4 linked regions of the Arabidopsis thaliana genome follow. The protein of the gene in region 1 interacts with the protein of each later gene in a pairwise test. Each region holds a gene or a part of one and is shown on either strand. Other genes may lie near its edges. The genes, in order: NAC095, HAT22, MYB14 and MYB32.

What was found.
Region 2: the proteins of NAC095 (region 1) and HAT22 interact in a two-hybrid assay, tested with the Arabidopsis thaliana proteins (one large-scale study listed by BioGRID).
Region 3: the proteins of NAC095 (region 1) and MYB14 interact in a two-hybrid assay, tested with the Arabidopsis thaliana proteins (one large-scale study listed by BioGRID).
Region 4: the proteins of NAC095 (region 1) and MYB32 interact in a two-hybrid assay, tested with the Arabidopsis thaliana proteins (one large-scale study listed by BioGRID).

Annotation. Positions count from the first base shown.
Region 1 is NC_003076.8:16,441,179-16,448,601, forward strand, and holds NAC095 (NAC domain containing protein 95), read left to right. Parts: upstream 1-4,476; 5' UTR 4,477-4,585; coding exon 4,586-4,754; intron 4,755-4,889; coding exon 4,890-5,359; 3' UTR 5,360-5,495; downstream 5,496-7,423. Other genes in the region: GDPD2 (PLC-like phosphodiesterases superfamily protein), read left to right, coding at 680-749, 833-1,017, 1,240-1,299, 1,389-1,670, 1,903-1,998, 2,107-2,303, 2,423-2,657; AT5G41100 (hydroxyproline-rich glycoprotein family protein), read left to right, coding at 6,251-6,367, 6,725-6,797, 7,147-7,218, 7,295-7,356.
Region 2 is NC_003075.7:17,764,696-17,772,790, forward strand, and holds HAT22 (Homeobox-leucine zipper protein family), read left to right. Parts: upstream 1-3,346; 5' UTR 3,347-3,545; coding exon 3,546-3,995; intron 3,996-4,090; coding exon 4,091-4,170; intron 4,171-4,270; coding exon 4,271-4,577; 3' UTR 4,578-4,981; downstream 4,982-8,095.
Region 3 is NC_003071.7:13,283,466-13,291,675, reverse strand, and holds MYB14 (myb domain protein 14), read left to right. Parts: upstream 1-3,295; 5' UTR 3,296-3,500; coding exon 3,501-3,633; intron 3,634-3,733; coding exon 3,734-3,863; intron 3,864-4,383; coding exon 4,384-4,870; 3' UTR 4,871-4,995; downstream 4,996-8,210. Other genes in the region: RUS2 (root UVB sensitive protein (Protein of unknown function, DUF647)), read left to right, coding at 1-218; SYCO ARATH (Cysteinyl-tRNA synthetase, class Ia family protein), read left to right, coding at 6,060-6,403, 6,505-6,568, 7,342-7,503, 7,587-7,757, 7,843-8,124, 8,203-8,210.
Region 4 is NC_003075.7:16,658,844-16,667,036, forward strand, and holds MYB32 (myb domain protein 32), read right to left. Parts: upstream 3,707-8,193; 5' UTR 3,447-3,706; coding exon 3,184-3,446; intron 3,089-3,183; coding exon 2,527-3,088; 3' UTR 2,258-2,526; downstream 1-2,257. Other genes in the region: SLP2 (subtilisin-like serine protease 2), read right to left, coding at 1-380; APX3 (ascorbate peroxidase 3), read right to left, coding at 6,164-6,358, 6,741-6,843, 6,988-7,067, 7,151-7,233, 7,347-7,395, 7,484-7,549, 8,096-8,145.

The sequences.
Region 1 (7,423 bases):
AAATCTTATTTTAATTAAAAAGCTTACTAGTCTAATTGCTGCAAATTTGACCAACTATACAGTTGTGTTGCATTACAATATTTCAAACCATTAATAAAACGTGTAAAACATATTTGGAGTTGAATGAAACTACATTTTCCTTTATGTCAAACGCACTTTTCAAGATATATCTCGAACAATTTACGTATTATTTTCACAAATTTTGTTCCACAATAATTTAGGTTATTTTGGTTTTTGTTGTTGTTTTTTGAGTCTGAAATTTCAAATTTGTATTTTTTTTTAATATATATTTAGGCAGGAATCTTTAAAATGAAACCAATAATATATTCACTAAGTTTGGAAAAAAACCAAAATTTCATAATTAACGGGACAATGACTAAGCTGTGGAAAAGATAACATAATCTCCCAATGACTCAATGCCACGTATAAGATGAGAACCGTACTCTTCTGTGTTCGTACCAGATCCCTCAAAAGGCGGGAAGAAACCATCAAGAAAGGCACATTGCTGACGTGGAATGGAATATTCGAACACGCATATCCAGCTCCTTCCTCCTTTTTCCTCATATCCCTTTTTTCTCAATATAAATACTCTGCAAAAAAACACCCACAAATCCTCACACAAAAACGTTTTCGAAATCCCTAATCTACTCTCTCTTCTCTATATCTCTACTCTTGAGAAATGGCTCTTAGAACTGTGCTCGTCTCCGACGTCCCTAGCCTCCCGGATTCTGTCTACGGTTTATCCGAAGGTATTTCTCTCTCTGTCTCTCTCTCTCTGTTTCGTCGGCTATTGAGCTGTTTTCGTTTCTGATGATCTTGTCTTTGATTACAGGTTTAGAGTTGAGCAAACCGACGTCGTTTAGGTTACCGGGGTTTTCGGTGATTGGACATAGAGGAATCGGTATGAATGTGTTGCAATCGTCTGATCGGAGAGCGAGAGGTGTTAAAGAAAACTCGATTCTTTCATTCAATTCCGCCGCTAAGTATCCGATTGATTTCATTGAGTTCGATGTTCAGGTTGGTACTCCGATCTATGTAATCAACTTTAGGATTTGAATGAGACAGAGGATTGGGGTTTTATGTTTATGTTTTTGTGTGTGGAAGAAGATTCTGATTTAGATATCTATTTATAGATTCTTAGAAATTGAAATGAAAAATAAGAACATGAAGATTTGAAGAAAGAGAGAGAGATGGCACATAGAGAAGCATTCCAAGCTTTGTGTGGTTTTTCTTTTGTAGGTGACAAAAGATGATTGCCCTGTCATTTTCCATGATGATTTCATCTACTCTGAAGAAAATGTAAGTCTACATTGCTTTCTTCATAGATCTTGGTTTTATATTTCTGGATCTTGTCTTCATGGATCTGGTGTTTGTGTGTTATGGTTCAGGGTATTGTTAATGAGAGTAGAGTGACGGATCTGAGTCTGTCTGAGTTTCTCCTTTATGGACCTCAGAAGGAAACTGAGAAAATAGGGAAGACACTGATGAGGAAATCTAAAGAAGGGAAGGTTTTGAAATGGGACGTTGATTTGGATGATTCTCTTTGTACGTTGCAAGAAGCTTTTGAACAAGTTGAACAAACTCTTGGGTTCAATATCGAGTTGAAATTTGATGATCAGACCGTCTATGAACGAGAGTTTCTTGTCCATATCCTGAGATCAGTACTACAGGTATGCTCAATACTAGTTCCGTATTCTTCCTTCTTTTTCTTGTTGGAGTATGAATATTTATTAGGGTCCAATAGAACCATTTGTTAAAAGTGCTCACAATTAATTTGATCTCTTGAGACCTTTTTGTATCAATGCTGTTGACCTAAAACTGCTGGTCCAAGTTGGATCTAGATTGATTGAGACTTGTTAACTTATTATTTTCTGTTTTTTCCATTCTGTGACAAAACTACAGGTGGTCTCTAATTATGCTAAAGACAGACCAGTAATCTTCTCAAGTTTCCAACCAGATGCAGCTAAGCTTGTTAGGGAACTGCAGAGCACTTACCCTGTATGTTCCATTCTCGCTCTTTTCTTTGATAAATACCAAAAAAAACTTCTTGACTTCTTCATGGAGAAATCACTTAAGATTTAACAATGTCATATGAACTGAACCCAGGTTTTCTTTCTGACTGATGCGGGAAACGAGATTCACAATGACGAGAGAAGAAACTCGCTCGAAGAAGCCATTCAAGTTTGCTTGGAAGGAGGTCTTCAAGGTATTGTTTCAGAGGTAAAAGGAGTGTTCAGGAACCCAGCAGCCATTAGCAAGATCAAAGAATCTAACCTCTCTCTCCTCACATACGGCAAACTCAAGTAAACCTTCTTCACTTTTCTTAATAAAGTCTAAAGACCTTAAGTTTGTTTCCTTATTGCTGTTGGATCCGATCACTGATTAATCAGATTTTAATCTTATTTCAAATATTGTGTTGCAGCAATGTCGGAGAGGCAGTGTACATGCAATATGTGATGGGGATCGATGGAGTGATTGTAGATTTTGTTGAGGAGATTATAGAGTCCACGACACGCATGATGATAAGACCACCACCATCATCATCACCATTACCATCACCTTCCAAGGATGATGATGTTGCCATTACAAGACCTGAGTTTTCACAGAAGGAGATTTCTTTTCTTCTCAAGCTTCTCTCTCAGTTGATACAACATTGATATCTCTGTTTTTTCGTTTTCTTTTATCCCAAGTTTCTTTTTAGGGTTTGATTTTCTTATTGATTTAATTATTATTCTGGGTGTATTACCCAATAGTTGGAATTGTAAATAATTATAAATTTATTTCTTTTTACAAGGATTAACTTTCTCAAAAGAAAATCAGCTATTTTTTAATTAATCGAAAAATTTAGAAAATATATACGTGATTATCTTTTATATAAGCTTTTAAGATATGTCACCCAAAACAAGCTAAGCCCAAGATGGATCTAGACTTTGAAACTCTCATTTTAGGGCAAAAAAATGGTTTTAAGGTTGTGTTATGGATTATCTTTTATATAAGCTTAGTTATATCACTAGGTGACCAATTGTAATGTGCTTTCGGTATAGAGTCAGAGTGATATGACGGGATACGTAGTTTGTAAGCGAGAAGGTGTTTTTCTTAGTAAAGCTTTTCTTATCCGCAAGAAGATTGACTTCAAACATACAGCTTATCTCTTGTGAGAGGTCAAGCTTTATAATGGAGTGAGATATGTATTTTCAGAAGTCTTAAGTATGGACATAAGATATTAGTTTCACATATTTCAATTTTTGAAAGTTTGCAAGTAAAAACCACAAAACAAACGAGTCTGTAGGCACGACCGCACGAGTGCTAAAGTCCGCTGCATATTGATAGTTCGAAGACGGTGTTTTGTCGATATTATTCACTATTTACGTGTCGCGGATTGATTAGCGACTAAAGAATTAGCCTTAACATATGTTTTGTTGAAATATATTTTGAGTCAAGATTATTCTTAATTCCCAATAGAATTTTGAAGTATTTGTCTTTGTTCCAACCTTTAAAAGGATGCTTGAAGTTCCAATCAAACTACAACTCATGCTCTCTCCCTCTTCTGCCTTAACTATGAAGAAAACAAAAGACATTCGTTTTTATTTTTCTCTTCAGTATCAAATTCAAGAATCCAATTCCAATAGCCACAACATAAATTCTCTTTGATATAATAATCTAAAATTAGAAACTGATTCACGTCTCTAAATTAAAATTTCTGATCTATTCAAGTAACTGTTCTTATATGAGTTTTGTTTCCATACATGCTTTGATTTAAACGTTTTCTACTACAATTATATCTACCTCTCAACACTGGAATCCAATTTTCTTTATACGGTTTATATCAAGTATTGATTGTTTTTGTCCAAAACAAAAACCAAGTATTAATTGATATAGCTATAGTACACTCAAATTTTAATTTGCTCACTATAATTCTGATATTACTTTGAATAGAAATTCAAAATTATCTAATCACAAAGTTCAGTTTATTTATAATATGGAAGCTTTGAGCAAAATAATGTAAATATAATTATAAAAAATAATTAGAAATAATTTAGGACAACTGAAAAAAATATGGATTTCGGTCTATAAGTTTCTATTATATATCAAAGGAAGTACTTTTTTTTTTTTGATAAACCCTAAATATCAAAAGTACTTTTCGTTTTTGCCAAATATGTTTAATTACTTATTTTCGAGATGTTATCTTCCATTTTTTTCAGTATCATTGTAATCAATGATAATTATAACAAAATCACGATATGAAAAAAAATATTCCATTAATTGATGTAAAAAAAAAAGTCAAATATCATAACATTAAAATGTAACTTTCCCCTTATTTACTAACTAAAGCTCATGCATGCGTGGCGTGATATTATCTATTCAATTCCTTTTCTAAAAAGGTTTTCCTAGTCCTATTAGGATTAGGAAACAGAGGTTGCTATATAAATACTTGATTCGCTCGCGTTTATCTCAGTCACAAAATCCCTACTTCTTCGTAACAACTTACTAATATATAGGCAGCTTGGAGCTTATTCATTGGACGACGAACTCTTTTTCTTCATCTCTTTCTGTTTTCTTTTTCTCTTCTTTTGTTCTGAGAATAATGGGCCCAACATACAGAGCTTTGCCAGTAGGTATGAGGTTTCGTCCTTCAGATTTGGAGTTGGCTGTTTACTTTTTGATCAAGAAAGCTTTAGGACTTCCCATGAAAGCTCTTACTGTGCCCGACGAATGTAATGATATCTTCTCAACACATCCTCGCGACTTGCCTGGTGAGAATACTTTCTCCGATCCTTTTGACAAAACAGATTTGATAGAGTTTTTGAGTTTCTTGATTTAACTTTGGCTACTTCTTTCTTGCGTGACAAGCTTTATTTTGTGAACTTGTTTTTGCTCTGTTCTTTCAGGCTATGGAAGCGAAGAGCATTGGTACTTCTACTGCAAGAAACCCAAGAATCAAGTTACTAGAACGAAATCTTATAACCTCTGGATACCAACGGGAGAAAAAACTGATGTGTTAGATCCAAAGAAGAATGGCGGCGAATTAGTCGGTATCAAGCATTCGTTTACTTTCATTGAGAACGAAGAAGAAGAAGAATCTGATAACAAGAACGGCGATGAAGAAGAACCTCCACAATGCAATTGGTTCTTGGATGAAATCAGCCTCCCATTGACAGTTGTGGATACTGATTGGACTCTGTGTCATATCTTTTACGAGAAGGTTAAACCTGAATTTGGTAATTTGCATATAGTCGAATCTGAATCCGAATCCGAAGAAGAAGAAGAAGATGAAAGTGTTGATAAGCCTGCAGAGAGTTTGGATAGTGTTAAAGAGAAAGATGGAACTGTTCTTCCTCCACCTCCTGCTACACCTTAGCTTCTTCATGATATAGTGTTTTACTGTTAGTGTTGGTGGATTGTAGATTCTCTCAAAACCTGTCAACGTCCAAATCTTTATTACCTCTAGTTGCATACCTATTGTTTTAAAGATGCTTATTTCACTTCAATATATCGGTTAGGTTTTTTTTCTTTTTCTTTCCACAATATATCGATTAGGTTATGTGGCTCGAGAGACTCACTTGCTCGCTGATACAAAAGTTCCAGAACAAAGAGATCATCCCTCATCTAATGGCTCATGTTAGCAATTGTCCGCCTACCTTGCTAAATTGCGCTCCTACACCTAAAGAAAACTATTGATATGAGTCGTAGTAATAATCAATCGATCTCTCTATTCCAATAATTGTTAGGAGGGTCATAATATATAGAAGAAGATAGATGATATATGTTATATAATATGATATATTGATATGTCCAAAAATCAAATTGTTCAAAAGCCTTAATGAAAAAGAGAAAGAGATGTTTGACCAGCTTAAAAACTTCCGGTCAAACACCTAAAAACCTTTTTTCCGCCTTTGTCATAAATCTTTGACTTTTTGACTTTTTCCCTCTCAACATCTCTTTTCGAGATTTCACCACGTGTCAAACCTCTCATCTGAACCGTTCATCTTACACGCGTGAGATTATCTCATTTTCTCCTCCTCCGTCTTTCTGCTGTTTCTTCGATCTGTTTCTTTGACCAGAAAAACAAAAGCTTCAAACTTTTTAGCTTCTTCTTCTTCCTTCAATGTCGTTGAACACATCCCACGATACTTGACAAAATATCTCACTCTTTCGTCTCTCTGTTTTCGACTCGCAAACCATCGAAGCGCCGATTAATCTTAGAGGAATTTCTTCGTGATTAGGGTTTTGTTTAGTTCTATCTGGAGATATGATGAAAGCTTCGTTTGGAAGGTTAAGAAGATTCGCATTACCCAAAGCCGATGCGATTGATATAGGAGAGCTTTTTCCCACTGCACAAATTGAAGGTCTTGCTCGAGCCGCCAAGGTAAATTTTCCCTCTTTTCACTGATCTTCTCTCATGATTCTCTGAGATTTAGTTTTTTTTTTCTTTTCAAAATCGTGAGTTATTGATCACAAGATTGTAACTTGGATGAGTTTTTGTGGATAAAAATTTCCGATCAAAAATCACACCCTAATTGGAAATTTCAGGACTTTTACAGTTATAGAAGTTTGTTCATTAATTTCTACTTTTATAGACTTATCTTATGGAGAAATTTGGAATTGGTATTTATATCAGTTATGGTAAGAAATTGATATTGTAACTGATGCTAGTTGTTGATTGGTTGAACTAGAACTGGAAGATACATTTTATGACCTAAGCTTATTACTCAATTGTTTTCAGGATATGCAAGATATGAGAGAGGGTTATGATAGATTACTCGAAGTAGCTGCTGCTATGGCTAATAGCGCATATGGTAAATAAGCATTCAACCTTTATGAATCTCCACTTCTATAGCTTCATGTATGAATTTGGAAGGTTGATGTTGTCAAACATTGTGACTGTAAAGTGTACGGTTGCTTCATATAAGATGGGGCTTGCTATACCCGAGCTTTATTGGATTGAATTAGCTTTCATTCATATTGTTTCTAGCGGAGGTCTTCGATAATATTATCATTTTGCGAAATCTTCATTTTTAGTGTCTCTAGAATTTCCCATTAAGTACTTTCTTAACCTTGTGAGAAACCTTTGTTGATTCATATAAGAACATCAGTATATTGTCAGACCTCATCATTTTTTTTTTTTCTTTTGTTCGGTATAATCAGAGTTCTCTGAATCATTGGGGGAAATGGGCTCATGCTTGGAGCAAATCGCGCCTCATAATGATCAAGAAAGTGGTAAGATTTTGGGTATTTAGCTATCATGGACGTTTGTTTGTCCTGTTTCCATGCTGTAACATTGTTTCTTCTGCAGGTGGAATTCTTCTAATGTTAGGTAAAGTTCAGTTTGAGCTTAAGAAACTCGTCGACACTTATGTAAGTTGTATGTTGCAACTTTGTACTTTTCATGAAGCAATATGTATAATTATGAACAAAACTGAGG
Region 2 (8,095 bases), on another chromosome or scaffold:
TTATTGTTGTGGTTGTGGATATTTTGTAGTTATCGTTTGGGTTTGATTAGTCTTAAACCTAATTTTTTAATCGTCTTCCAATCATCTAAACCATCTAAAAAGGTCTTGCGAGTTGGGGTCACACCGTTATTTCATTATTATTTTGTATGTATTAATACTCTGTTTTATAATACGACATCTTTTTGCCTTTTGTCTTTATTCTTCCCCTCTTTTTCACACATTTTTAATTGGTTTTAATTTTTCCCCTACCTTTTCAAGAAGTCAATATTTATCGATATTCCTGTCATTATTTAAAATCGTGTTATTAATGACTTATTGCCGACATATTAAAAAAAAAACTCTTCATAATATATACTCCATGTGTATTAGTGTATGTATAACATTTCATCTATCATTATGCATATTAGCAAACATGTAAAATAATAAGTATATGTGACAGTTTACAAACATCATTTGTCTGATTAAATCATTAAAAGATAACAAAATTGTTCTGACCATTTCGTAAAAAAAAAATTAAGTAGTATACAATAGAAACAAATAATTTAAGAAGTCGTTTATTCAGAAATGATTCTGGTAATCGCACGAAGCTTATTATTCATCATCGTTATCTTTCATACTATAAGATAATAATTAAGAAGATCCTAGTAAAATTTGGTCTTTGAATCTGACCTCTTTTCTACGTTCTATATTTTGTCATGTAATGCGATTATTTTGATATGATCATGCGTCATAGAACACACGCTCCATAAGACAAAATGTGATAACATATTAAATTCGATAACAATAAATAAGACAGAAACAAAACTAATCATGACGACGTCTAGTTACAGGAAGATCGCCTAAATGACTAAATTAAATAAATTATCGGGTCAATACAATTACTAATTTGTCTTCTCGTTCTAACTTTGAAATATTTAGATATTGGGTCTTTGTTGAAAAAATATGATTTAATCATGTCATGATTTTTCTAATCTTGACACCTCGAGTTTTAAATACAACACTAGGACTATGTAATTATTAAATAATACATGTAGTTAATAAATACATGTGTCGTCGTGTTCATGAGTTTGCCTCACCTTTCCTCTTAGGAGACTGGTCTGGCCGTCGGGGACCAATGCTCTGAGATACAAAATTATTTTTATACTAATAATTTATAGTATAATAATACGTATTCTTTGTATGCAATTCAAATTGTTTTCATGCATCCCTCTCTTTAAATGAATTGCAGCTTGTCCAAATGGTTAAAAGTTCTCGTTAGTTGGAATCAAATATCTATATCTTCAACATTCTCAGAACTATATATATTCTAAAGTTTCAATAATTTTTGTTCCAAACAACAAAATTGACTCTTTAAATAAAGTCAGGAAGATTTTGGTAATGGCGATTGCAATCTTTTTAGTCAAAAGACACCAGCAAAATGATCAAAAGGCGAATTTAAATAACTTCATTTGTAACTTCTGACGCCCCGACTATTCTAGCTGTTACAAGTGACCAAAATGGCTAACAATGTACACGTTAAACTTTTGATTTTCACACTACCATATTTTATAAAAATCATGATGTTCTAATTGATTATATAAATAAAATGCTTTACATATGCATGTAGTTCACATTTTTTTTTTTTGGTTTGCAATTGTTTCTTAAATAAATAAATAAAAAACCTAATTTAAAACAAATCAGAAGAAAAAAAAATTGCAAACCAAAGTAATCCAAATAAGCTAGTATTTTAATCGGATTGTGAGTACTTTCTCCACTTCTCCTTCGAGGCCACGCTTATATATTAATTTGTACAATATGGGTAACCTAACTTGGTTGGAAAATAGAAAGTGCCAAAAAAAACAAAATATGTATGGCTAAAACCAATAAAACGTCCCACGTCGACTTTCAAGTTAAGTCCCTCAACAATATTATTTCTGTTTGACGAATCACATTCCACCACCACCATGATTACCAATCTTCTTCTCCCACCCGTTTCTAATTCAGGCCATTCACAATATTTGATACAGAATAATGAAACTTAATGTTGAACTATTCCGCCATTTTACTGTTTCAATTAATTAAATATTTATCTAAACGAGGTGCTGTTAGTAAAAAAAGTTCCAATATTTTTCTAGCTAATTCTATAAAAAGACACTTTGTACTGTAAGAGCAGAGACGATAAAAACAGAAAATGTAACGATAATTTGTTACGTCCTGTAATGAATTGTTTAAATTCGAGTAATGATATTTATGCATTTTCTACATATATGCTACTAGTAATCAATAAAAGCATAGTATTATCAAAACTAGAATGCGGTGGAAATAAATAGATAGAAATCATTGGATAAATAAGTCCCAACACAATCTGGCCAGATCAAGAGAACCGAACCTAAAACAAGAAAGTGGAGATCACAATCCGAAACCCTAAATAATAATACAAGAAAGGGGAATATAAAAAGAAATTAGAAGAAATTAATTAAAAACCCAATGTGTAGTGTGAGGAAGTTGAAGATTGGTAGGCAAGCTGACATGTTACCCATATCTACCTTCTTCAAGCAAAGCATGGAGTGGGAGACAATTCATGTGGTCTCTTATTTAATTAAAGTTGCCTCTTAATTACTCTCTATTGACAACTTATTATGATACTCCTACTTAGATAAGTTAAATGTATCATTTGATTATAATCTAATTTATTTTAAGGAAGTCTTCAGTTCTGTTAGTTATATTTAACGCTTCAGTGGTATATTACAAGAATATCTGTACTCGAGTAAATATTTTAAAATATCAATCACAGAACATTGGATCTTTGAATGTGGGCATGGGAGGATATAGAATCGTTTCGTCATGTGCTAGTAATTGTATTGTTGACTTGAATTGAATTTGTGGATATATATCCCGATTAACAAATTGAAACAAACATGTAAAGCAATGTATAAATGGTAAAAGATAGAAGTAAGTTTATCAGGAAATGCAAACCATCAATTCGGATATAGGAGTTTAAAAGTCTAATCGAAAGTTTTGGAGAGACTAAAATCTATTACACCCAAAAAAAAATTGCGTTGAACCGTTTTTTTTTTTTTTTTGGGTTTTTAAAACTAATTTAATTTTCATACCACGTCATAAAAATTATATTCTCAGAGTATAAATTTGTATACTATGAATAAACATACTGAAAATTTATGAAGTGGGAATAATAGTTGCAAGTGGGGTGCGCATTTGGTCAACCTTTGTAAGTAAGAAAATACAAAGGAGAGAGAATTGTGCTATCATAATTTTCCACATTCTTTTTTTCGAAAATTCCATATAAAAAAGTAAGCAAAATAAATACATTCCTTGATTAATTCTAATTATTAGCCACCCACCCACCCACCCATCAAAAATTAAAAATAAAAATTAAAAAGACAAAATAAAAACTCTCTTCCCCTTCTTAAGAAGAAGCCATCTTGGTTTCATTTCGTCCCATAATCTTCCAAACTTCACCAGAAGAAATTCTTAACAAACAATTTTCTTCATAATATTAATTCTCAAGATCTTAAAGATTATATTAATACGAAGAGAAAATTCAAATGGGTCTTGATGATTCATGCAACACAGGTCTTGTTCTTGGTTTAGGCCTCTCACCAACGCCTAATAATTACAATCATGCCATCAAGAAATCTTCCTCCACTGTGGACCATCGTTTCATCAGGCTCGATCCGTCGTTGACTCTAAGCCTATCCGGTGAGAGCTACAAGATCAAGACTGGTGCCGGCGCCGGCGACCAAATTTGCCGGCAGACCTCGTCCCACAGCGGCATCTCATCTTTCTCGAGCGGAAGGGTAAAGAGAGAAAGAGAAATCTCCGGCGGCGATGGAGAAGAAGAGGCGGAGGAGACGACGGAGAGAGTGGTGTGTTCGAGAGTGAGTGATGATCATGACGATGAAGAAGGTGTTAGTGCTCGTAAAAAGCTTAGACTCACTAAACAACAATCTGCTCTTCTCGAAGATAACTTCAAACTTCATAGCACCCTTAATCCCGTATGATATAGTTAATTATTTCCTTAATTAAACTAATCAGTCTCTTCTTATTTACGTTAATCATATCGTTAATTATTTTTTCTATGAATTTACAGAAGCAAAAACAAGCTCTTGCGAGACAGCTGAATCTAAGGCCTAGACAAGTTGAAGTGTGGTTCCAAAACAGGAGAGCTAGGTAAATATAATTGATTACTTTTGTGAATTTTAATATCATACTTTTCTTTCTTTATTTTGGTTCATAAAAATATTTTTTAATTAAATTTTAATTTGAACAGAACAAAACTAAAGCAAACAGAAGTGGATTGTGAGTTTTTGAAGAAATGTTGCGAGACTTTAACGGATGAGAATAGAAGGCTTCAAAAAGAGCTTCAAGACCTTAAGGCTTTAAAATTGTCTCAACCGTTTTACATGCACATGCCGGCGGCGACTTTGACTATGTGCCCTTCTTGTGAGAGACTCGGCGGTGGTGGTGTCGGAGGAGATACGACGGCGGTTGATGAAGAAACGGCGAAAGGAGCTTTCTCCATCGTCACAAAGCCTCGTTTCTATAACCCTTTCACTAATCCTTCTGCAGCATGTTAGTTACTTATTAGTTATTTAATTTCTTTTTGTTGGTTTTTTTTTTGTTTCTTAAATCAAATTAGGAATTAGTTAGAAGATAAATCCCAGGGAAAAAATATTACGTTGAAATTGGGGGGAAATGGGGTATAGTCTTTATAGATAAGACTCTTCAACGATTCCACTTTATTTTTCGGTGGGATTGTTGGTTGATGAAGAAAAAAAAATAGTTTGTAATTACAGGTTTAAATATGTAGAGAAAAAATGACGAATATGTATTATCTTGTTTTTTTTTCCTTCGAATATGTATTACGGTAATATAAATTTGCTTGTAAAAATAATAAATATATTATTTGATAAATTTTGTACAAGTTTATATCACGTCTGACGACGTATCCTTAACAAATGATTGTTCATTCATGTGAGTATAATATTGATTTATACTGTTAAATGATATTTAAATATGGGTTCTAATTTGAGTTCACACTTTACAAACATAAACAACCAAACACTCTTCCGTATTTTAAAGATTCTTAGATTGATTCTTAACAGGAGGATTCGTGTATATATTTGTAAAGTATCCACTACGATTTTATAATTTCAGAGTTTCTTTAATTAGCCAAGTCTCTATTATTCTTTACTAATCGTTCATCTTAATGAGACACTGGTGCCAACTTGGTTTTGATTTCAACCGTCAAACCCAAAAATGGAAATAAAATTGATTGAAATAATTTGCCACCGATAAATAAAACACTTATAACTAGTATAACTAAATAGATGGAGAATCCTAAAACTTCACGAAGGTAAAGGTATGAAAAAAATAAAAGATGAGACGGTAAGCCAAACCAATCTATATCAATACATCAAAATATATTTATTCAAAATTCACATTTTATTAGTGTTTTTTTTCTGACTCATCAGTCATATGACATATATACATTTATTTGTTTTGGCTCCAGATATAATAATTATATTTTTTATTATCCAAAAGAAAAGAAAAGAAAAAAACTGAAAAATCATTTGATGGGTGTGAATGATTTTAAGGGAGAGAGATAAAGGGTGTGGGGCTAAGAGGTTAGCTCACGTGTATTGATACATCTCCTTAAAACCTTTTAAATTTATCCAACCAATAATTATAATAAAGTTATAGTAAAAACAATTTAACAAAAAAAATTATAATAAATCTTTAAACTATATAACACTGACAAATTAGAAGAACCAATACGCACCATGCAAAAACGTGTTCACATATGTAGTCAAATATTATCCATAATAACAACAATAATAAAAAAAAAAATATCATCATCTTATTACAATGCTTAATTGCAAAGAAAAGACCTCTATTTAATAAAGATACGTTTGCGAAAAAATCTATAAATGGAAATAAAATTTTAAAAATAAAATAATAATAAAAGTTCTTGAAGATTTGAAGCAGTGAGATGCTCCATCTTTAAGAGGTAAGGTGGGACATGCTTCACGTGATTTTCTCTTCATTTTTCTTCTCACGACCATGTTATAGATGTGTGGGATTAATTATATGACTCTTCTTCATGTTATACCCATATTTGCTATACACGTATATTCATGTTTTTTAATGAATACATGACAACGAGACGTATTAGTTAACATATTTATGAAAATGACAGCGAGAAATATTCATAAGTATTTTACCAAAAAAAATATTCATAAGTAATTACGTGATTCACGCAAAAAAAAAAAAAAAAAAATTTACGTGATTCACGAACACAAGTATAATTCATGAATCTTCCAGTTTCAACACGTACATGCACAAGATATGAGTAAAATTTGATTTTGATTTTTATTTTATTTTTAAAATTAAGTTTTTGTTACTTTTTTACCTGAACCGTTTAATTTTATAATTAATTGTCGTATGTAGTAGTACATCTAATCAATAAAAGCTGATATTGATCGCGACTAACATTTAATAAAATCATTGATTTTCTAGGTTGTGTTAAAGGACGTCGAGGTCTCGAAGATCTCGTTGAGATTTGATCTTCACGAGGCACGAGTAATATGTTTGCATGTTTTTATCTAAAGTAATAATATGTATGTGAATTAGGGTGTTAAAAGTAATTTGGTTCGAGAACATATAATAAAAATAGAAATTTAAGCCTTTATAAAACAAAAGGAAGATAAATTTTGATATAGAATGTAATGCATGCGTGATGATGGGGGATGGATGAGATGACGAGAGAGTCCACAAGAAAATCATAAGATCGGTGACCCTGAAATTATGGTGGTGGACCATTTAATGATGAGATGACTTTCCGGAGAAATCGGTGACTTTCTCAAAATCTCCATTCTAATTTCACGGAATCATTCCCTTGTAGTGTCTCCTTTTCTCATTTTTCTCTCTTTCTATTTTTTTCGTTCAAATTTGTTTATATTATAAGATCCAAATATAGTTTTATCCCATAATGCTAAATCAGGACTTAAGGGTGTGACTGATATAGTATTAGAGTAAATGAGTAGAAAATATATAAAGAGTAAACAAATAGAAAGAGAAATTTATTTTTCTTCAATAATATTTATCTCAACGTTAAGAAAAAAAAAAGAAAAAAAAATATTTTTTAATTTTCATCATGATTTATATATGACCAGTACAAATTGAACAGAAATGAGGATAAAAATATCTTCTTTTTTTCACCATCTAGAAATCAAAATGCAATATAGAAAACTAAATGTAAACGGAAATAATCAAGATATAATCCAGTAAATGAATCCCTCTCCCTTCCTCGCCTGGATATCATAATTATATATAAAAAAAAAACTAAAGACAGTGAAAGCTATATAATATGTATATGCTATATCTCTACTCTTTTTTTTCATGTCTTCTTTAAGAAGATTTTCATAAACATTTGGGAGTATACATAAATATTTTCAATCAATTTTCTTGCTTATCGAGGTTTATTTATTTGCCTTCAGTTTTGCTGTCGATTCAATTGTGTGAGGTAACTTTTTTTGATATCCCAAAAAATATTCTAATTAATAATGCGCATTTTTTTATTCCACATATGTGCTCGTCTACAATTACATGCATAGTGCGAGTGAAGGTTCATAATTGGATTAACAAAAAATATTATTTTAATAAGCATTGACTAAGTCAAACTTAGAGGATTAGTAGTATTCACTTTTGAAATACACATGGTCATTTTGACAAGAAAATTGGCTCAATCAAGCGAATATAAAAAAATATATAATAGGCGGGAAAGATTATGATGAAACGTCAAACGTATTACATATTTACATCGCCCGAAGTCGGTATGGAAATAATTAATGTATATGAAGACGATATGTATTTTATTATGAATATGAGTGTATATTAAGATTAGTCATAGGTTAATATTATTTTTACTTATGTAGGTGACTAATTATTTGGGTTGTTTCTTTTAATGATTGATAGATTTGCTTTACGTGTGCACGAACGTACGTAATTAGTGTATTAAGAACGGCAAAAGACATGTGTCAGTTGCTGGTTAAATTGTCGGTTTGTCGAATTCTTGTTCCCGACTTTTTAGTTT
Region 3 (8,210 bases), on another chromosome or scaffold:
AGCACGATGCAACCGGTGAAGATGCATTGCGAGGGTGGTTAGTTGCAGCATATGTCAAGTCAATGACAAAGATATATAATGACCCTGATGACATTATATTGCAAGACGCGTATGACAAAATGAACGATGTCTTCAATCCATTTTTATCTCAAGTGCAAGCTAAAGGATGGTATACTGATAGATTTCTCGATGGCACGGGGACAAGATTTGCTTGGTAGCTCCCGAGTTTCGAGTAATTTTGCTATTGTAATTTTTTATTGTTTCAAGTATAAACACGAATTTGTAGGCGTAAGAAGTCTTTATCCAGATCATGAATCCACAATCTAGTACTTTGAAGACTTAGATGGATTAGATTAGAGTGAGATTGTTAGGTGAAACAAAAGTTTGAAGGTACGGTTCTTGTCCTCGTTTGTACTTTTGTTTTGCCATTGTAAGTTTACATATTTTATCATATATATCAATCAAAATGGAATCTGATTAATGCTTTTTATGGATATATATATATATATATATTTATTTAAAGTTAAAATAGTTCTCTTGGTCAAATCTTGTGTACGGGCTCTATTTTTCCTTAGACCTGGACCCTTCCTTAGTCTTCATTTTGGGATATTTTGATCAGTGAAAATGTCCCAAATATATCACTTTTGTTGCATGTTGTTACATATAATATTTGATAAATGCAATTATCAGAACTACCTTATACGAGGGTTAGCCAATGCTACTGCCTACTGGACACATAACTAGTAAGATTCTGATAGAGCATGAGAGGAGGTAAAAGATTTTGTTGGTTAAGTTGTGTTTCAGGTTTGGTTAGACTTAGACCAAACTTAATTTCAAATTATCATTATGCATGTTGTTAATAAATAAAAAAAACTACAGAAAATAAAAATGTCATTAATGTATTAAAATTAACATTTCAACCTTTCATGATTATTTAGCAATTTGTTAAGTGATGAAAATGTTTACTTTGTTATTCTTATACAGATTTCAAAATTTAGTTGAGACATTTTATTTTAGGGATAGCTAGTTGGATCTGATTGAAGAAGATAAGTAACACCTTTTTAAATATTAACTAGTGAAATGTTTAAGGCTTCTTTACTTTTGACATGCATGTATAATCAATAATGCAAATCAGCCGACCCTTGGAAAATTACAAAAAGAAGCGACAAAGTTAGTAGTTGAATGGACCCACAAATATCTAGATTTCGTTAGGTCACGATCCATTTGAATTTATCAATTATCAAACAAAACACTTGCATTAAAAACATGGGAACTCCACAATTATATTGGAGTAGTGTTGTAAGAGAAGATAACCCTCGTTGTATTAGAAAATGAAACCCCAAAAAGAAAACGGAAAGAGAAAAAAAAAATTGTGAAAAAGGGCAAGATCTTGGTAATGATGGAATTAGATATCGACGATCTTCGTTTTGTTTTAGTCTATTCTTTTTAAAACGTTGTAATCTTGGTCTAAATACGTTTAATTTGAAACAGTATACAAAAGTTGCTTTTGACAGAGACAAACGAATAGTTTAACTCAAAAGTAAATGTTGTAATGGTGAGTGAAGGTGTGCAATTGAAAGAAGCCAAGAACCATATCACTAAATATCAATTGACGACAATTTCATACATTTTACGATCTCATGGTTGTAATTATCTTACGTAATGACATATACCGTAAGAAAGACATTTCTGTTTTTTTTTTACGGTATGACACTATGAATAATTGACGTGTTTCAAAATAATCTGGTTGTCTATTTTATTTTAATTACTAACTCACCGGTAATTTAATAAATTTAAATTTGTATTTACAAAGTAAAATTATAAATACTCTTTCGAAATTAAAGATTCATATGACCAAAACAATTCAGATGTAGTATCAAGTCATATTTAACATTAAAAGAAAGCGGGAAAACAATGACCAAAAAGTGGAGTCATCAAATCATATTCTAGCTAATAAATCATTTCATAAAAATTTTTTGTTAACAATATGACCTCTGATTCTCTGAATCATATTAGAAAAGAGGAACCCCTTTACGTACGTACCGTACCTACTTCGATGTCTATGATTTTCCCTCTTGACACCACAATTGTTTTGGCTCTACATACCTATTTTTTAATTAATCGTAACGGTATTATATACATTAAGAAAGAAAATAGTGTAAGTGTTTAATATGCGCATAGAAAAATATGAAACTTTTAATGTTTCTTATTGACTTATAGGTCACCCAACAAGCTTGATTGAGATTAAAAGTTTGATTATTTTTGGCCCATGATTTGATCGGAATTGAGCACTATGAGCCTCTTTCTTTGACATTTTTATGCATATATAATTTGAACCTTTCTTTCCTCTCATAATGTTTTATATTATTTTATTTCCTAATTTCTTATTATTTATATTGGAGCATTTTTTGCTTAATATCTTTTTTATATAACTCCGTAATCCGAGGCTCCGAGCGGGAGTCCGGGTAAACTAGAATGGAGCAAGCTTGTGAAATACAAACACACCATATTAAACATTTAGACTACATATCAAAACCAGTCGTCCAAAAAAAAAAAAAAAAAAAAAAGACTACATATCAAAACCAACTTATCCAATAAAGTTGTTCCAAAAAGAATATGAAACATATATGATAGATATATTTAATAGTAATTAAGATTTGTCATAACCAATCAAGTAAACGGATCATGGCTTGTATACCAGTGGTTTTCAATAATAGCTTGTATAACAGTGGTTTTCAATAATAGATTTAGATATCGGGTCATTAACTTTTGAAGTGGGTACACAGGTCGACCATATGTCGATCTTTCATATGAATCATGTGACTCATATGCTTAGTGAAACTAGCGTCCCTAGAACATGATAATTCAGGGCAATAATTGCATAAGTAGAGTGATGTTTGCGTTTTGCTTCTCATCACACACTCGTTTCCCTGGTTGCGTGTTGCATCTCAAAAATATTGCAAATATCCCGAAATAGAAAGTTTTGGACCCTATCTGGTGATATATAAAGAGAATCCTTTTGGCCTGAGTCGAACTGATTAACCGTTAAATATTTTACTACTGAATGGCACCTGAATTATAGGCAATCTTTACACAACAGGAGTTACAGGACATCGAGGCTCCAGTGGTATTCGTCGACCTCATCAAAACAGATTAAAATACATTAGAAAAAAGTTTTTTTTTTAATGAATCTAAAAAAAAAGTTCAAAGGAAAAAGGTTAAAAACTTTGGACTGTGTAGATCAAAATTAGTATGAGAAAATTTCAACTTGGAGTTGTCCCACGGTTGCATTGTGATTATATAATAATAATATGTGTGTATATATAATAACACACTAAACGTCGACATCGCATACTTCCTTCAAGCATTTGGCTTCTTTAGCTCTCATAAACTTCATACCCATTCAACACTTGTCCTTCTAATCATTTTACTCAATTGAAGACCATTTTGTTTTTCTTTTTCTGAGTGTTTTTTTTCTTGAGGGGGCAACGGAAAAAAGAATGGGAAGAGCACCATGTTGTGAGAAAATGGGGGTGAAGAGAGGACCATGGACTCCTGAAGAAGATCAAATCTTGATCAATTATATTCATCTTTATGGTCATTCTAATTGGCGAGCTCTCCCAAAACACGCAGGTGAGTTTCCTTTTTACATTTTACTTTGTATATTGATTATCTATTAATGATTCTTGAAAATGAAGCAATTTTGGTTGGTGTTTTTGTGCAATTTGTTTAGGTTTACTTAGATGTGGGAAAAGTTGCAGACTTCGTTGGATCAATTATCTTAGACCAGACATTAAACGTGGCAATTTCACTCCTCAAGAAGAACAAACTATTATCAATCTGCATGAAAGCTTAGGCAACAGGTTTGTCTTCTTTTTTCCCCTAAAGAGTGATTGAGAAATCAAACAGTTTTAGGGTCGACGTTTCTTTTTTTTTTTGTAATGTCAACTTCCTTTTTCCTTTTTCCACTTTGCATTACACTGACTCTCTGAGAAGTGAGTATTACCCAGTCTAAGTTAATAAATGATTATTTATGTAACAATTTGCAAAATATTTTAACACCATGGGGGTGGTAAGGAGATTCCTGTCCGTGATTTCCTCTGTCTCAAACCAAACCAAAGACTTCATTAATTTGTTTTCAAATATACTTTAAAAAAAAAACAGAAACAAGATCTTCTATATTACTATTAAAAAAGGATATGCACTTTGATCAATGCAAAACATATGGCATGTATAAGCTTTTCTTTTGTTGTTTTCTTCTGTTTTTGAGCAACTAAAAAGCAATATAAAGTAAGAAATTGATGAAATCCATACAATACTATTATACGTGGGGCGCTTTTTTAAAAAGTGTTTTGTTTTTTGTTTGTTTCTTAATTAATTTAGATGGTCTGCGATTGCTGCAAAATTGCCGGGACGAACCGACAATGAAATAAAAAATGTTTGGCACACTCATTTGAAGAAAAGACTCAGCAAAAATCTAAACAATGGCGGAGACACCAAAGACGTTAACGGAATTAACGAGACCACAAATGAAGACAAAGGATCTGTGATAGTCGACACAGCCTCTTTACAACAATTTTCTAATAGTATTACAACATTTGATATTTCAAATGATAACAAGGACGATATTATGTCGTACGAGGATATTTCTGCCTTGATAGATGATAGTTTTTGGTCGGACGTCATATCGGTAGATAATTCGAATAAGAATGAGAAGAAGATAGAGGATTGGGAAGGATTGATCGATAGAAATAGTAAAAAATGTAGCTATAGTAATTCTAAGTTGTATAATGATGACATGGAGTTTTGGTTTGATGTTTTCACTAGTAATCGTAGAATTGAGGAATTTTCCGACATACCCGAGTTTTAATTTTGATTTTGATTTTGTGTTGTTTTTGTCGTTAAGACTTTGAAAGTCTTTTTGTAATCCAAATGAATAAATTCCTTTTCTTTTTCTTCCTCTCTGTCTATGTTTGTAGACTTTTGAGATTGCATGTAAATATGAATATCTTACATGCATTTTGATAATAAACATCATTTAAGATAACATCAAGACATGTAGCAATGGTTAGTTTGAACATGTAACATCACTTTACCATGTTACCACCCAGATTCAAACATGTATATAATATGAAAGAAATAAAACTTTTAAGAGGGCCATTTCGGTTAGTTTGGTTTCTAAAGAAATAAATGTTAACTGAAGTAAAAAGAAATTAGAAATGGGTCGACTTGAATTGTGGTTTTCAATCTAAAATGAACTCCTAAGTGTGTAAAGACTAATAACTTCATCCTGGTTTATAATCAGGACAAAAGGAACCATTGTTAAACGTTTTGAACATATAACAATGGTTCCTTTTGTCCTAATTATAAACCCAAGAACTTATTAGAGAACATACTATCGCCGAGCCAACCTCACTCCTTAACTTTGTTTTAGCTGGTTGATCTACACTAGGGTTTTGCCCTAAACTTTTTGTGATAATTTTTTTTGTTCTAGTTGATCAATGTTTTGCAAAACTTCAACATATAAGGTCCAAGGTCCTGTAGTAGACAACTAGATATTATTTACAAAATATTAAGGACTTTTAAACTATATTTTGTAGACCTTTAATTAAAACCTATGGATGGTTCCTACGAAAACATCAATAACACCATTCCGGTCGTACTTAAAAATTTAAGAAAATCAAAATGACAAAAACGTGAGTAGATTAAACGATTATAGTTAACGATTACGCATACGTAATATCACATCGAAATATGGTTCTTTAAATTTTAATTTTAATTCCAATATCATCATCACTAAAACATTCTTTTTTCCTTCAATATTCCATTAGTGGCTAATAGACAATCCCATATATTATTTGAAAAACCTAGACATTTTAAAAAATTTCGTCAACAACCAAGATGGTGCTCCTCTAACAAGTCTTGATTAAACCGAACCGGAAAATAAAACCGGTTTACACAAACCGTAATTAGTTCAGAGGTTTTAGCTAATCACTCGCCGCTTTTTCCTATCCGAGATTTCATCATCTTCTTCGGAAGGAGCTTATCGTTCCACACCAATGGCTTCTTCTGTCCTTAATCTCTTCAAATCATGTAGACCCTTCACTCCAATACGCTTCTCTTCTCTTCCCAAGTCTCAATTCAGAATCCAATTTCCCCTCAGACCCGGAAAAGAAACTCAACTACGTCGCTGTTTCACGACTCTGTCATCATTAACGGACGGTGGAGCACCAATTTCCGGTGGGAAGGAGCTGTGGCTGCACAACACGATGAGCCGGAAGAAGGAGCTGTTTAAGCCTAAGGTCGAAGGTAAAGTTGGAATGTACGTTTGCGGTGTCACTGCTTACGATCTCAGTCACATTGGACACGCACGAGTCTACGTCACTTTCGATGTACTCTTGAGGTATCGACTTGGAGAAATAAGCTTTAAAACTTCTTGGGTTTATGGAAAGTTATGATTTTTTTATGATTTTGTTCTTTTGAATTTGATTGGGAATTAGGCAGGTACCTTAAGCATCTAGGATATGAAGTGTCTTACGTTCGAAATTTCACGGATGTGGATGACAAGGTGAGCTAACTCTGCTTCTTGGTGGTTAGCTCAGAGATTCAGGGGTCTTATACAACTTAAGCTCTGTTTAGAAGTTTAGAGACAGCTTCTCGAGTTCGTTCAGGAAAGTTTTTTAGTGAGAACCTCTTAAGATTGAGTTTTGTGGTACCGTTAGGTTAATAGGATGAGTAGCCAGTGTCTGTTATGGCATTCCTGGACCGCGTTTAAGTTATTTATTTTCTTGGCGGCTACATATTGGGCAGTAGAGAAGTTGAAGCTGATTGATCTTATTTCTAGTGTCTCCAATACTGTTATTTCATCTCATTTACTTGTGAGAGGCATGTAAAAGGATGGATCATAGTGCCATCAAAGTTGCAAGATTTGAACGTTTAGACTGCTAAAGTTATTATATTGGTGGTTGAGGCTAGTGAAAATGTTGTACTATGAAATGCCAAAATGGAGAATAGTCAGTATTTTCTCTTTGTTAGGGAGAAGTTCACTTAGTTTTATCCTTTATGTATGTGTCTGCTCTTTTACATCTGCCTACGTTTGTGTCACCAACTTTGATTAACCTTAACACAGACTAATTAGCTAGAAGAATAGAACTAATTAGTAATGTCCTTTACTAGATTTCCTCCGTATTGTGCTACAAGATTTCACAAATGTTTTCTTTATTTCAGCCTCTCTCTGACTATATTTTCTAGGGGAACTTTCACTTTTTCTTATTGAAGTTGTATATGGCTAGATTCTTTAGCTACATATGCAACTGACTCATGAAATTTCAAATTTTGTAGATTATTGCCAGAGCGAAAGAATTAGAGGAAGATCCAATCAGTTTGAGCAGACGTTTCTGTGAGGAATTTAATCGAGATATGGAACAGCTTCAATGTTTAGATCCGTCTGTCCAACCACGAGTTTCAGATCATATACCTCAAATCATCGACCTGATCAAGCAGGTTTGACCACATTTACTTCACTTTGCTCCTCATGTTGCTAAAAATCTAAGATATATTCTCATATGCTATGTTTTCCAATTCAGATTCTTGATAATGGCTATGCCTACAAAGTTGATGGAGACATTTACTTCTCAGTCGACAAATTTCCAACATATGGAAAATTGTCTGGGCGAAAATTAGAAGATAACCGTGCAGGTGAGAGAGTCGCAGTTGACACGAGGAAGAAACATCCCGCAGATTTTGCTCTGTGGAAAGTACGCTTTTTAGTTACGTTTTAGCCCTACATTGAATACTTGTTTACTCATTTAAGTCTTAAAAGACTTCTGAATTTTTGGGCAGGCTGCAAAAGAAGGGGAACCCTTTTGGGAGAGTCCGTGGGGAAGAGGAAGGCCCGGTTGGCACATAGAGTGCAGTGCGATGAGCGCGGCTTATCTCGGTTATAGTTTTGACATACATGGTGGCGGAATGGATCTTGTGTTCCCTCACCATGAAAATGAAATTGCTCAGAGTTGTGCTGCATGTGATAGCAGCAACATTAGCTATTGGATCCATAATGGTTTTGTTACTGTTGACTCCGAGAAGATGTCAAAATCCTTGGGGAATTTCTTCACTATCAGACAGGTAAACATTTCTCAGTTTTGCAATTTTCTTCTTACATCCAATATTTATGCCTAAATTTCGTGTTTACAAACATGGCAGGTTATAGA
Region 4 (8,193 bases), on another chromosome or scaffold:
ATGATTACGTCTGATCCGTAATCAGATTCTGACCATAGTCCTTTTTGGTTTTGTAAACCAAGAAATTGAGGAGAACGTGTGGTGTGAAGCTCTCGACGTCGGTCTTCGAAAACAGCAAGAACTGCTGGGTGGTTACGGAGATTATCTGCTTCATCTGGAGTAACAACGGCGGAGAAACCATGGAAGACTGTGTGGTAAACATGGACGATTCGAGATTCTTCGGCGAACTCGGTGCTATACCAATGGTAGTGCGTCGGGAAAATAGAAGGCATAGATCCACCATCGATACGGAAAATGAAAGTCTTCGCGGCCTGAGAAGCTGCGAAAGAGATAAACGGAAAAGAGAGGAAGAGAAGAAGAACGATGGTGGAGGAAGCCATTGAAGGAGTGGAGCGAGTGAAGTGAGTGGGGGGAGTTTTACCGACATGACATTGGTGCTCTCATAATTATAAAGGAAAATATCATTCTTTACTTCTTTTTTTCATTTTTGATTAATAACTTTTATAATTGTTAGTTTACTCAGATAAATCATCAACTTTGGATATTTCTTCTGCGAAAATATTCCTAGTACTATGTCGCTTGTATGATTCTGGGCAATAATATAGTTGTCTGATTAACACAAGTGAGAGAAAACAATTTTGATAAATTTCATTTGTTTGTAAGATAACGGAAATTTCATTAGCGAATGAGATAGGTGGTCTTTGTGGTCGTGGACAGTGATATTAATGAAACGACAGCGTTTTACGGAGATACTGCAAGAATGAGTCATCGCTTTGTAGGATTCAATGTATTTTATTCATTTTTATACAATTTTGGTTAGAGAAAAGTAAACATCGGAACTGCGGAAGTTACCTTTCATCACCAGGAAAAGTGTGATCGTTCACATGCAAGTGAGATCATCATAACTATATAATACGATCCATTCATAACGGTCGATTAGTTTCTCTTAAAACAATCAACACCCTCTAATCGTAAACTCATCACATCCTCTGTTTACTATTAACATGTTGATTTTGTCAACACAATTACTAGTAATCAAAAACTAATCATATAGTAGATTAGTAGGCTTTTTAAGTATTAGTAGGCTTTTTGTTTATCTCTTTTATGGTGGAGGAGCGGAGAGTTGAGCAGAGAATCTGAGTCACTGCAATTGGACAATAAAAGCGACGGAACAGAGACTTTTAGTGATTCTCAATATTACTATATTCGTCCATTATATGAGCTTACAACGGCTATAATTTCAACTTCTGATGAAAATACTATTTTATGTTTCTCAGAGATTAGGATAATATAGGTTTTACACAGATGGGCATGCCACCAACCCAGTCGCATATCCCAATGTTGAAAAGCCCATTTGATGCATTGGGCTACTCATACTAGGCCATTTATTTTGATAGGCTGAATTTATTGTTTTGGACTTCAACCAAGTTTTGTATATCATGCAGAAGTCAACTTGTATGATTTGTTTTATTCGTTTTGAGTTCTAGCTTACTTACATCATTCTGATTTGCGGTTCAAATCTATTTGAATTAATTTGATAGTCAGTAAAAGCTTACAGGTAGTTTGTGTCGATTTATGGTGTGTTTACTGTTTAGTAGGCGTCACCAAAATTTAAGTACAAACTATACATTGAAAGCTAATTCGGACTGTTTACAGAATTCCTCTCCATATTTTGTTGCTCATATAGGTTATCCTAATCTTGAGTTTACATTTTGCACTTTATTATATATGAAAATATCCATCAAGTAGGTCAAAGCAATATAACTCATATATCTATTTTGATATCGTTCAATCTTTGATATATGTCTCAATATACATTTCTTGAAATTTCGTATCTTTAACACTATCACATGTAGAAGAACCTAATTATGCCCACTAGCCTGATACTAAACTAAACTCCAAAGTTTTAGGTTGATGTCCGTTGTTTTACATAAACAAACATTTGGAAAAAACCAAACCACACTAGTTAAGTTCTTATATGTATATATTTGTATAGTTTTGGAAATAAGGTGAGTGACTTTTGTTTAATATAGTGAACAACACATTAATGTGATAAAGACATTTTACCAACACAGTGAATGCTTTGAATTAGTACTAAAAATAATCAAACGAAATATGCCAAAAGGTTGCAATGAATAGAAAACATGTACACTTTCAATCGTTCTCACGCTTCTCATCCTTACACAGCTTATCCACTTCATTGATATGTCCAATCTCTTGGGAATAACCATCGACATACATTTGTCAAACATTGGTTGGATTATCGAGTAAAATTCTAGAAATATACCAAGGATCGAATTTGAATGCATATGTCTTGTCAGCAAAGCATTACACCCATGCGACACTTACAAATGGCGAACATTTTCGCATCTTTTTAGTAGATTATCAAATATGACGACAGATCCTAACAACTATGATATGAATAAAATTACTAGTTATTAGAAAAGTTGAGAACCATGAACGAGTCTGTTAATAGCTTTTATATCACAATTCACAGCTATAAATTGATTAATATAGTATTTCATTTCATTTCATTTCCAAAGTGCTAAAATCCAAAACCCTAGTGTTGTTTAGACCCAAGAAGTCATAACCAATGCTACTACTAATGTCGGTTGAAGAATAACTGCTGCTACTACTGTCCTCTGTTTGACATTTCACATTATTACAGCTACACTCCTTGCCGTTCCCGAATCCAAAACGGCACGCACTGCACCTATACTTCACTCTCCCAAACCTTAGGTTCCTCTCATCATGGAGCTTGTCTTGCCATGGTGGACTGATCCTAAGCTCAAGATTCAAGTCCAGACATCTTTCTTCAACAACTGAGTACTCAACTCTCTTTTGAATTCTCTCGTCCCCGAAATTTGCTATTTTCTCCAGCTGAGGACCAAAAGAGAGAATCTTGACAAGAGGGTCCTCTGTTTTACTAGAATCAGACGAATCTTGAGAAGTTTTGGTCTCGTTGATAGGTCGATGAGTCGCCGGATCAATCCCTTTTCTTAATAGCTTCCTCTTAACATGTGTGTTCCAGTAATTCTTAATCTCGTTATCTGTTCTTCCTGGTAATCTCGTCGCAATAAGAGACCACCTGATAGAAGAAAAAAAAAACAGAGTTTAAAAAACAGAGCTTTTTAACATAACAGAGGATAGTAAAAAAAACAGAGGAGTTGTTTTGTGACTCACTTGTTACCGAGAAGGCTATGTAGTTTGATGATGAGATCATCTTCTTCGAGGGTGAAGTTACCCCTCTTGAGATCAGGTCGGAGATAGTTAATCCATCGGAGACGACAGCTTTTTCCGCAACGTTGAAGACCGGCGGATCTAGGAAGAGAACGCCAACAACCTTCACCGTGAGCTTTGATGTAAGAGATGAGCTTATCGTCTTCTTCCTTAGTCCAAGCTCCTTTGTTTGTGTGGTCTTTCTCACAGCAAGGAGACCTTCCCATCTTTCTTCTTCTGATTCTTGTGATGAAGAAATTAGGGCTTTATGGAGAGACGGTTTGAGAAAGAGAGAGAGAGAGAGAGGTTGGAAGAGGAAGGTGAAGCCTAATTTGTTTCTAGAAGAGAGTTGGTAAGACACGTTTGAAGGAGTGGCTAGTGGGCTCCGTTCTCTTTTTTCTTTTTAATCTAAGATTAAATTGTGTTTTTGTTTGTTTGTATCAAAACTAGAAACTGCAACATTCACACGATCGTGTTCGCAGTTTCAATGAGAAAACGCTATATGGCTTTTATGGTTTTTTCAAACCTGAGTCTAGTTGTCTACTTATTTACTTATTAGCCTAGTTGTAGGTGTGAAACCATAATTATGAATGGCGACATGCGTTTTGTTGGTGATTTTAGCAATAGAAACTGTGATCAATATTTCACATTTCCTAAAGAAACTTTTCAAACTTTACCAAATTTAATCATATTATATTTAAGTAGTTAGATAGGTGAAAATTTGGTTCATCTTGTTTTTTTCTATATTTTAGTTTCATTAATAACGTAAGAAAAAAAAAATCATCGAGTTTGTTCGATATGATTTTATATCGCAAATAATAAATTTGTTTGAGCTAGGGTTGTAAAAACAAAAGTAGAGGATATATTTACATTAAAGTAAATAGTTATAAGGATTTTGTTTTTGGACAAAGTTGGATGGTTTCGTACTGCAACGAATTTAATTCAAATTATGGACATTTATGTTACAATGGAAAATAGTATATATTTGCCATAGTGAGTTTGGTAAGGAGGTTGTAAAGGGCATCCAAATGACCAAATTAAGTATATTCAAATCAGTATAAAGATAAATTCGTTAGAATTTCTAAAGAAAAAAGGAGAACATGTTAGTTTGATAATTTTTTTGGTTAATCAAAAGTTTGGAGGATTAATCTAGAAGACACAAACAAGGTTGGTTTTGAGGGAAAGTTAATTTCATTTTTGGGTACGGTTTGGTGTAGATTTGGCTGCAATATGGGGAGTGGTTCGTGACCTTCCACTTTATCCTACTTCCTTTAAGAAGTGTTAAAACATATCTCAACAAATCGTTTCGTATATATAAGAACTATTCAGATAATGTATCAACCGTTTAAATTTTAATATCCATTTTCTCTTCACCAAAGTAGTGAGATATAGCATTATATAAGTAAAACCTACATCCTATACTAATATTTAGCTACGCGCTATATGATAATTACTTGTGAGTAATTAACACAAAATCAGGAGTTCCTACAATCGGTGAAACCTCACGTGGAGTTTGTAATGTAATGAAAATGGAGAGTGCATTTCTACCTGCTTTCTCCTTCTTCCATTAATGATTTGCCCTAACACGTGACCTTTTTACTTTCTCAACTACCATTTTACCAATCTCTTAATTAATTCCTTATCTTCTTTTCCATCAATTCAAGGTTTCTTATTTATCGTAACGACCAACTAATTCTTAGAAAAAAATCATAGTTTCTTGAGAAACGCTTTTCGTAAGCTAGCTTATCATTTGAATTGATATCTATGAATTTATCCGACGTATCTATGTTCTTGACAAGTTACAAAGACCATGGCCTACAAAATATTCAAGAATTTTGCTGTCATCACGAGCTAATTAAGCTAATATCAGTATATATGAAAATACGACGACTCTAAGAAAAACATTCGTGAAATGCTTTTGTAAATAGGTAAGGGGATATTTTGAAATAAGTATCGATAAAAACATATCGAATAATGATTGTGGTTTTTATTCTTGTTTGGAGTTCTTTATTTGGAAAAGGGAAAAAGCTTTATTGGTGAAAGTTTGTTTGATACCTGAAAGACAATCTTAAAAGAGTTTGGTAGATTTCATGGTGTACATTTACTCTGAACTCCTACCGACATATTTGTATATTTAATAACGAAGAAAATAGAAATGGGATAGAATTGACATGTGATTTGTTATCTACACACACACCAAACAAATCTTAAAAAAATAGGTACATTATACGACTTTTAGAATGTATACAAAGTGCAACATGTAACATATATTTCCTAATTATTAAAAATGTATGGTTTATTTATTTAAACTACTTACAAGTTACAAAACCTTCGTTCTTGCCAAATTTAGAAGACATGCGTTTCTTTCTTTTAGTTTCTTATATAAGTTATTGTTAGGTGATTTCACATTCTGTTAAAATACAGTACACTTCTTTTACGTAACAACAATTCTTTTATGTCAACTTGAATAAAGCTATTTGCTACTTTGCGTCCATTACATGTCATCCCGAGCCTATATTTAGGTAACTGGCAACCAACATCATATATTATCTTCTTTAATGAAAATACGAAAGCAAAAAAAAATTTAATTTTAATTTCTTAGTAGAAGTTTCCTACCTAACTAAACCTACCACTACCAGGTTAGGTCAAGTTTCAGGTTATGTCCCCACTTTGGTAGATATCGACCGATCTTTGTTTCTTTCTTTTTTCTTTTTCTTTGGTACTAATTAATAAGTGAAACGAACATTGCAATGAACAAATATCGCAAAAATGAATCACGGACCCAAAATATTGACTTTTTAACTTTTTTACTACTAAACAGTAGAATCGTGGATTCAAAGAGTTTAGAATCTTGTAGCAGCAAAATAGATTCGATAGACGATTAATAGTTTCTTTAATACCCAAATAAGAGCATCGTTGCTTCGTGTTTTACTTCCTATTTCGTTTACTTCATCCTCTTCCGGATCTCGTAAAAGTAACCAAATGCCACAACCGCAGCAGCAACTGCAACCCCGAACGCACTCTGTGCCAGAATCGTGCTGTCTGCAACTGCTTTGCCTGCTGAGGAGTTTGGGTTGAAACCAAGCTCAGAGAGTTTCTTGTGCGATTCCGCGTAGTCTCTGAAGAATGCATCTTCATCCTGCCACCACAAACTGAACTTGTCAACACATAACAACACTTTCTTATCTTATTGAAACTTAATTAAGCAAGGAAATCATAAAGAACCATAGGAATTTCTGTTTACGGTTCTAACAAAAAGCTAATATTACAGTTCTCACTGATAGTAGTAAGAGTGTTCATTTTATCATTTTGCAACATCAGCAACTATAAAGGCGATAAGGATCCGTGGGGTTCTCTAGAACAAAACCCTAGATAATTTGGTTTGTGATTCAGTGTGTGTGCTTGTGGATTCAGTGAAAATGTGAAACCAATAAAGGAAATCGAGTTATGTTCCAATGGTTATTATAGCAACGCAAGAAACAAATGGCAAAGAGGCAGAGAAGATCTCCAGTATATTATACCTTTGCATAAAGCTCAACAAGACGACGGAACTCCGGGTCTTCCAATAAGGTCTTGTCAGTTGGAAGTTTCAACAAGCCCTCTGATTCTCCTTTCAGCAGTTCCCTGGTACCAAAACAGTAAATAATCATGGATAACCGATCATGTAAAAAAGTATCTGTTTGCTGCTTTTATTTCTTGGAGACACAAACAGAAAAGATTAAAAAAATGCACAAAGAAAATCTCTGAGGATAAAGAAATGAAAATTACACGAAGTAGGAGTTGTCAAACTTCAGCGGCTCTTGGGTCCATGGTCCATCAAAGCCTGACCTCTCCGGGTGAGCCCTTCCCTAAACACCCAATGTGGTCATAAGCACAACAAGCATATTTGTTCAAAAACAACGGAAGTTAAGTAAGTGACCAATGAATTTACCAGAGTATGACCCCCTGAGAGTGCCACAATATCCTTATCAGATAGTCCCATGCGGTAGAAGACATCTCTGAGATGTTGGAAACCTACAGAGATATAAACAATGTGAATTCATAGAAAAAATCTTCCAATTCCAAAACAAGATTATCAGTAGAAAACATGAAAAGTTTGTTATAATTGATACAAGAATTTAGTGTACCTTGTTTGGCATCAGGAAGTCTTCCTTCCTTGGGGCAGACATTTGAATCCTATCAAGAAGAAACATACAGTAATTATGTTTGCTTTAGTGTTAAACTGATAAGCTGTTATAATGTCTCAAGAGATGAGAAAGTATACCTTTCTCCCGGGAACGAACACGATGTCAGGTCCACCAGTAACCTCAACTGCTACCACACCAGCAAGCTGAAACAAAACACTTAAAAGTAAATAATTCATACCCAAAACTTAATTGCCATTAAACTGGTACACTTCTATTGGGAATTCATAAATAAAGCCTCGACCTTGTAAGACCAAATATAAAATGGAGAAACGGCAATACAAACAGTCGTAGAGACAGGTTATAGGTACAGACGACAGACATGTGACTTAGGATGGAAACAGATTGACATTACATTACAGTTTCCTTCTTGGTCGTTTGAATTCATTCAGTGTATATTTTACTTGAATTTAGCTATTACTGCAAGAGATAAAAGTTCTAGTTGAACAACATAGTCAATCTATGATTTTTGTAAACCAAATCACAATCAGTAACATCTCCTGAAACAAATTACAACTGAAACCATATTTACACAGCTGCTCAACTATCAACTAAGTCTCCTAAACAACAAGCTCAAACCTGGGACGAGGTAATGACACAAGCCGAATACAGTTCCAGCGAACTTTGAAAAACAAATGTGCAGAAAAAGCAACAAGGACATCAAAAAGATTTCTCTCACAGCCTTAACTCACCTGATACAGGTCTGCGTATGTGATTTTGGGATGCTTAGCTTTCACGCCCTCTGAAACATCAAAGATAGGATCTCATAATTAAGCGATACAAAGTCCAT